Linked DNA regions of Arabidopsis thaliana. The protein of the gene in region 2 purifies or fractionates together with the protein of the main gene of each other region. This does not show direct contact. Each region holds a gene or a part of one and is shown on either strand. Other genes may lie near its edges.

Evidence for each region.
Region 1: the proteins of AT4G14840 (region 2) and AT2G01710 fractionate together in Arabidopsis thaliana (co-fractionation; one large-scale study listed by BioGRID). This does not show direct contact.

The regions. Positions count from the first base shown.
Region 1 is NC_003071.7:313,570-317,247, reverse strand, and holds AT2G01710 (Chaperone DnaJ-domain superfamily protein), read right to left. Parts: upstream 1,601-3,678; 5' UTR 1,545-1,600; coding exon 477-1,544; 3' UTR 255-476; downstream 1-254. Other genes in the region: AT2G01720 (Ribophorin I), read left to right, coding at 1-55.
Region 2 is NC_003075.7:8,512,042-8,516,184, forward strand, and holds the start of AT4G14840 (spindle assembly abnormal protein), read right to left. Parts: upstream 1,906-4,143; 5' UTR 1,844-1,905; exon of another isoform or gene 1,766-1,843; intron 1,687-1,765; exon of another isoform or gene 1,653-1,686; intron 1,542-1,652; exon of another isoform or gene 1,517-1,541; 5' UTR 1,492-1,516; coding exon 1,454-1,491; intron 1,256-1,453; coding exon 792-1,255; intron 712-791; coding exon 1-711. Other genes in the region: LOI1 (Pentatricopeptide repeat (PPR) superfamily protein), read left to right, coding at 1,906-3,494, 3,769-4,143.

The DNA.
Region 1 (3,678 bases), on a different chromosome or scaffold from region 2:
ATTTGTGGCTTCGCTTGCGTATGTACACATCGATCTCAATATCGTCAGGAAGTAGAAGTCTTATCAACAGTCCTTCGCTTTCACTTATAGACTCGTAAAAGAAAATACTTTTGATCATCACTTGAAGAACTAAACTTTGTAGGTGTTGCTGCTTTTAGTAGAGTTATATCTTTGACACTACTTTGCTCTCCAATCTTGATTTTTCCTCAATTTTATTTACAGAGAATCTAAAGTGTTTAATCCATCCAACAAGTGAAGTGGAAAAGAGCGAATTGCCAAATTATGTAATGAGGAAAATGTTTCAAAGTAAATCAAGATAACACAATTACACAACGGTAATAACAACAAATGCATAATAAAGTTTACACTAAGACAACAAACGCTGATCCTAAACTTCCTTGCCTTAAAAAAAACTTGCCTTTAAAATTTTGTCTCCATAATTTTAACAATCATGACCGGAGTTTGAAAAGAGATCACTAAACCGGATTCTTCTTCGGCCTTCCTCTTCCTCTCTTCTTCGGTGTTCCATCTGAATTAACTCCAACACCATTATTACTCCTCACAGCCTCATTATCTCTCTTCGCCGCACCACCTGACCATCCATCAAAACTAACACCATTACCACTTGGAGGAGCTGCAACGCCGCCGGATGAGAAAACCGGAGGCATCCAATTAGGGAACTTAGCTGCATCTACTCCATTAGCAATGGCAGCTTCTCCTCCTTTACCACCAACAAACCCCATCGGAAAAAAACCCCAACAACAATAATACTCATCTTTACCAGGTATCAACGGAGGCAACTGAGGAATACTCGCAGCGTGAAACGCTCTTTGACAGTTTTGACATCTAATACAATACTCTTGATAAACCCTAGGATACTCATGAAGACTGTAACAGTACGGACACGCCGTCCAAAACGTAGACATCTTCTCATTCGTTGTTGTTTTCTTCTTCGATTTCTGAGTGTTGAGATTTACTTTAGTGAAGATGAGATTCAAATCTCCATCGAATTGAGATTTCTTCGTAGGTGTTGATAGAACTTCCCATGCATCAAGCACGAATCTGAAAGCTTGATCGGCGAAAGGGAAACGGTTTTTGTCAGGGTGGAGAAGAAGAGCAAGACGACGGTATTGTTTCTTGATTAGATCGTTGTCTGTTGATGATTCAGTTAGATCTTCGATCTGAAGGATTTTGTACCAGTTTGGTTGGTTTTTGATACGATTCTCTGGTGCTGATGAGAGTAAGACATCGACGACGGCGAGGATTTGATCGGTGCCTTCGAGGAGTGGCTCTGTCTCTTGAGCTAAGATTGCAAACTCTTTTGAACCGTTTAGATCTCGTGACTCGAGAAGCTTCTCCGCGATTCCGAGAAGACGTTCTGCTTCTGATCGGTTAGGGTTGTTGTCTCCCATCTTTCTTCTTCCGTCGGCGATGGCGGAGAAATGGTGAGCAGATCTAAATATTATCGCCTCGACAAGAGACGATGAAACAAGGCTCTGATTGGCTGTGTGTAAAAATGGTCGGGGGAAAAAAAATAGTAACATTGGAGTAAACGGAAACTAAAACTTTATTTGTTACCAAATTTATTTAGTAATAAAATCATTTCTTCATTTTTATGTTATTATTTTTCACAATTTTATTTTATGTTATTATTTTTCACCCTTTTATAATGTTACCTACTTACAATTCGTTTCCTATTTCGCCATATTTATAATATTGCAAATAAAATCCAGCTTTGTGTCACCAGTTACAAAAATAATATGATTATATACTTTATTGGTTTTATTAACACTACATTAAAAAGGTAAATAAAAGGAAAAATTACTATAGTATATTGGAAATAAAGTCGGTATTTGACTCACTAGAGAGTTATAATTTATAAATGAGACATAATTATTGTTTATTCATCTTATTCAGACAACATAACTAAAAAATATATGGTCAAGATAATATTAAATGTTTTAAGAATGAAAATTTTCTAGAGCTAAGAATATCGGAAATAAAGTTAGACGTATTATGTTTAACAGAAAAAGAGGCAGAATTATGGCAGTTAGCTCAATTTGAGCTCAATACCAAAAATAACGGTTCCATGGGATCGAAAAAACAAATTCGGGTTCAGAATATATCACACGATAATATTTATTCTGGTTTGCGTTGTTTTGTGGACGGATCTTGGAAAGGAAGCGATAAGTTTTCTGGATTAGGGTGGTTTTGCAGATCATCAAATGGAGACTCGCCAACCATGGGAGCTGCTAATCTTCGTAGAAGTCTTTATCCACTCCATACAGAAGTCGAAGCACTACTTTGGTCGATGAAGTGTATGATTGGTGCCGACAACCAAGAAGTAGCATTTTTTACAGACTATTCAGACTTGGTGAAGATGGTGTCTTCTCCAACCGAATGACCAGCGTTTTCAACTTATTTGGAGGAACTAAAGACCGATATAAGGAGGAATTCACAAAGTTTTCTTTATCTTTAATTTCTCGAACTGCAAATGTAAAGGCGGACAAATTGGCACGAAAAATTCATATTGAACCGCTTCATGTCACTTTTATAAATAATTTTCCTCACAATTGGCTCTTTTGAGCTCTAAATAAAATCTGTTGACAAAAAAAAAAAAAAAATCAGAAATAAAGTTCATCTATGACTACCTACCAAAACAAAAGTTCATCTTTGATTCACTCACAAAATAATACAAATAAAACATGAAAATTATAAAAACATTTAATATTATCTCTTACCATAATTTATTTATTTGTTGTACATAGTACAAATAAAATGGAAATAATAATTATTTTTTATTTGTAACGTTTGCCGGCCGAATAAAATATTAAATTTATTTGCAATACTACTCACAACAAACTTTACAAATAAAACATGATTATCGTTTTTTCTTTTCGTTCATTCAAACTATAAACAAAAGCAATGAAAGCATGATAAGAAATGATATTAAATGTTTAAAAAATAAAATTTGATATAACTATATTATTGGAAACAAAGTCCATATTTAAGTCACCTATAAAAAAGCATGATATGAAATAATAATAAATGTTTAAAATAATAATATAATATCTAATGGTATTTGAAATAATGTATGTGTTTGAAGATGTTATAAAAATGTTAAAAATAAAAATATAATTATCAATATTGATAATAATATTCATATTGATATGAAGAAATGATATTATTTCCAACTACAATTTATTTACTTTTCAATGTGATGTGAATAAATAAAGAATAATCATGTTTTAGCTAATGTTTCAAAATAGAAAAATTAATATAACCAAATACTGTAACCTAAAATTGTAAAAAATACCACTCTAGTAAATACCAATATTACCCCGGTTAGCTGCTACTAACATTAAGGGTGAAGTTGTCATTTGATACAGTGATCACGCACTTTTCACTTGTCTTCTTTATTAGTTTTTTTTCCTTGTTTTTTAAAGACATCACTTGTGACCAAAAAACAAATCCACTAAGAAAGAAAAACAAATTAATAAAAAAAAAAGATCAGAAATTAGTTTGTGCAGAAATCGAATTGGAGAAACCGAGTAACTATGGTAGCCACAGATGAGTTCATCGTTTTTGACCAGATCTGATTGTTTTCGTCTTTGCCGTTGAAATAATCCTCCGCTCCTTCTTCTCATCGATTTCTCCGATCGCGATTTTGGTTTCTCG
Region 2 (4,143 bases):
ACCTCACTATTTCTTCAGCTGATAGGCTTGGATCTTTCTTGAGTTTAGCTGCCAAGCTTGCCATCTCCGTAGCTTCATTAGACATGAACAAGGAAGAGAAATCTTTCTCCAGAAGCGATGAAAGCTTCATTCGAGCTTCTGTCCATTCGTAATCTCTCACTGGAGAGCTTGCACTAACGGGAAGTGATGATGAAGACTCCTGTCCTGCTTCTGAAGGCTGTTGCTGAAGAAGATTCTCTAGAGAGTTCAGATAACTGTCAAACTCTTCTGGGTTTATATCCACAGGAGGGTGAGAGACTGCAATGACACCGTTCATAGAAGAAACATAGATATGCGGAACAAAAGCCTCTTCTTCTTCTTCTTCGTCTGCATAGTTACCTCTGCGTTTCTTCATCCTCTTGCTGCCTTTCTTTGCATCTGATTCCTTGTTTTCTTCAGTCAAGTCAAACACATCACCTTGTTGCTGTCTTGTGTAACGTTTCGAGGAAGATTCCCGAGCTGACTTATGTTCAGCAGCTGGTGTTGTTGTGGCTGTCTTTTTCCTGTTGCTAGCTCGCGGAGTTGCTTTAGGTTCATTAGTCTGTATCTGCACCTGTTTTCTCTTCCTCTGGCTGTAACGCGAAGTTGATCCTTCTTTTTTTACATCCTCAGCATCCTCATCTTGATTCTGTCCTTCTTTGGATGTCTCTTCAAACAGAGACGCAGCATCAACTACAGAAAAAAAGAAACATCATTCATGTGTTGCAGATAGAGTTTTATGGCTGACGCAACAGAAGAGTGTTAGTTGCTACCTCTTTCTGCAGGCTGAAACAAAGCCGGAATGTTCCAGGTAAAAGATGCAAAGAATGCATTAGCATCCATATCAGGGAAACTAGTTTCGAGATAACGCGAAAGAGTGTTTTTGCTTGCAAAAGATTTGGGTACATTCTTGCCCTTAAGCCTCTCCGGGAGAATGAGTAAGCGATCCTTATGGAACCCGGCATTATTCACTCTCCTCCCAACTCTCCAAGTCCAAACATCGCCGGGGCTCGGGAAATCGACAGGTGCAAACGGCAAACCTTGACCACTAGAAGCTGGCGGAATCGCCGGGAGTTGATTCAAATCAGTGAAGGAGCTTCTGTCACCATTAACCTTCACATCATCACCATCACCATCACTGTTGAATCCGTTTTCCCGATAATAGTCATTCTCAACCGGGACTGGTTCAGTCTCCTTGCTTCTATTACTCATTGACACTACTGATTCACCATCAAATCTGTGCAGATTCATAAATGTGATTGAATCAAATAACATAACTTAACTAATTGCTTTGCAGTTATAATCACATATATTCATTACTCTATTCCCAATAACAAAACAAAATCGATCATGACTCAAAGTTTCCTAGAATCAATGCAGAGAAACCTATACAGAAGTGTAAACATATTGATAGTTCTTAATGAATTGAATTTACCCAGGAGAATTTTGACCTATCTCTTGATCCATATCCATCGAAGCAGACCAAAAACCCTAATTCCTGCGATAGATAAACACCCAAATAAACAAAGCAAAGGATGAATTCTAATCTATAACAATGTTAAGGGAACAAACCCACACAAATTAAAAGTTAAGTTGATTAGAAATTTCTCCAGAATGCAGATAAAGATACGAACTTTGGAGAGTCAAGAACAGAGTAGCCGATCTTATGCTTCAACTACAACAGATTACAAATTTATCAAACTCATTCGTTTCTTATATATCCTCTTTTCGATCAGATTAGTCCTACAAACAGAGGTGGAATAACAGTTATACCCTTTTAGTTTGTTTTTGTTTACACAGATGAAGATTGAAATTACGATTATACCGTTCAATGTTTCTTCTTCACCGACTTGAAAGCTATGACCTTTCCGATCACCGGCGTTAGTTATGAGCCTCCTCTCCGCGGACGCACTTGGGTTACTTCTCAAGAATGCAATCTCCGCGAGTTCCATGCGTTTGGGTCGCGTCGTTCACGCAAGAATCGTCAAAACCCTCGATTCACCACCACCTCCGTTTCTCGCGAACTATCTCATCAACATGTACTCAAAACTCGACCATCCGGAATCAGCCCGACTCGTTCTCCGACTCACTCCTGCACGAAACGTCGTCTCTTGGACTTCACTTATCTCCGGACTTGCTCAGAACGGTCATTTCTCCACCGCTTTGGTTGAATTCTTCGAGATGCGACGAGAAGGTGTTGTTCCAAATGACTTCACTTTCCCTTGTGCTTTTAAAGCTGTGGCTTCTCTGCGTTTACCCGTTACTGGGAAGCAGATTCATGCGCTTGCTGTGAAGTGTGGTAGGATACTTGATGTGTTTGTTGGGTGTAGTGCTTTTGATATGTATTGCAAAACTAGGCTTAGAGATGATGCACGGAAGTTGTTCGATGAAATTCCTGAGAGGAACCTTGAAACTTGGAATGCTTTTATATCTAACTCTGTGACTGATGGAAGGCCTAGGGAAGCTATTGAAGCGTTTATTGAGTTTAGAAGGATTGATGGGCACCCGAATTCGATAACTTTTTGTGCTTTCCTTAATGCTTGTTCGGATTGGTTACACTTGAATCTAGGAATGCAGTTACACGGGCTTGTGTTACGAAGTGGGTTTGATACAGACGTCTCTGTTTGCAATGGGTTGATTGATTTCTATGGAAAGTGTAAGCAGATACGTAGCAGTGAGATTATCTTTACTGAAATGGGAACTAAAAATGCTGTTTCTTGGTGTTCATTGGTTGCTGCATATGTGCAGAATCATGAGGATGAGAAGGCGTCTGTATTATATTTACGCTCAAGGAAGGATATTGTTGAGACCTCTGATTTTATGATATCAAGTGTTCTGAGTGCGTGTGCTGGTATGGCTGGTCTTGAGTTGGGAAGATCGATACATGCTCACGCTGTGAAGGCGTGTGTTGAAAGGACTATATTTGTTGGAAGTGCCCTCGTTGACATGTATGGAAAATGTGGATGTATAGAAGATTCAGAACAAGCGTTTGATGAGATGCCTGAGAAGAACTTAGTGACTCGGAATTCATTGATCGGAGGATATGCTCATCAGGGTCAGGTTGATATGGCATTGGCTTTATTTGAAGAAATGGCACCACGTGGATGTGGTCCAACTCCAAATTATATGACTTTTGTGTCCTTGCTTTCCGCTTGTAGTAGAGCAGGGGCTGTGGAAAATGGTATGAAGATATTTGATTCGATGAGGAGTACTTATGGCATTGAGCCAGGGGCTGAGCATTATTCATGCATCGTGGACATGCTAGGGCGAGCGGGAATGGTAGAACGGGCTTATGAATTCATAAAGAAAATGCCAATTCAACCGACAATTTCGGTTTGGGGTGCTCTTCAGAATGCTTGTAGGATGCATGGTAAGCCACAGCTGGGATTACTAGCAGCTGAGAACCTTTTCAAACTCGACCCTAAGGATTCAGGCAACCACGTTCTGCTTTCCAATACGTTTGCAGCGGCTGGGAGGTAAATGAACCGCATTGATTCTATTCAATTTTTATTCATCTTGTTAGGTTGAAATCATATTCTAATCAATTCAAAAGAAGCCACACGATGCTTTGTAAACAAGAGCCACCCAAATGTTTAGAAGAAAGACTACAAAACTAGGAGTATCTGAGCATTATCTGAATCGAGTTTTAAATAGATGAAACTTGTGTTAAACATGAAGCAGGGGAGACCAACCATTTATTTTGTCTTCAGTTACTTATGATCTAACTATATTATAACTAATCAATGATAGGTGGGCGGAAGCCAACACCGTAAGAGAGGAGCTGAAAGGCGTAGGGATCAAGAAAGGAGCCGGATACAGTTGGATCACAGTGAAGAACCAAGTCCATGCCTTTCAAGCCAAGGACAGATCCCACATACTGAACAAAGAAATTCAAACAACGCTGGCCAAGCTAAGGAACGAAATGGAAGCTGCAGGGTACAAACCCGACCTGAAACTCTCGCTTTACGATCTGGAGGAAGAAGAAAAAGCAGCAGAAGTCTCGCACCACAGTGAGAAACTGGCTCTAGCATTTGGATTGTTATCTTTACCACTCAGTGTCCCAATCAGAATCACCAAGAACCTTAGAATCTGCGGAGATTGCCACAGCTTCTTCAAGTTTGTCTC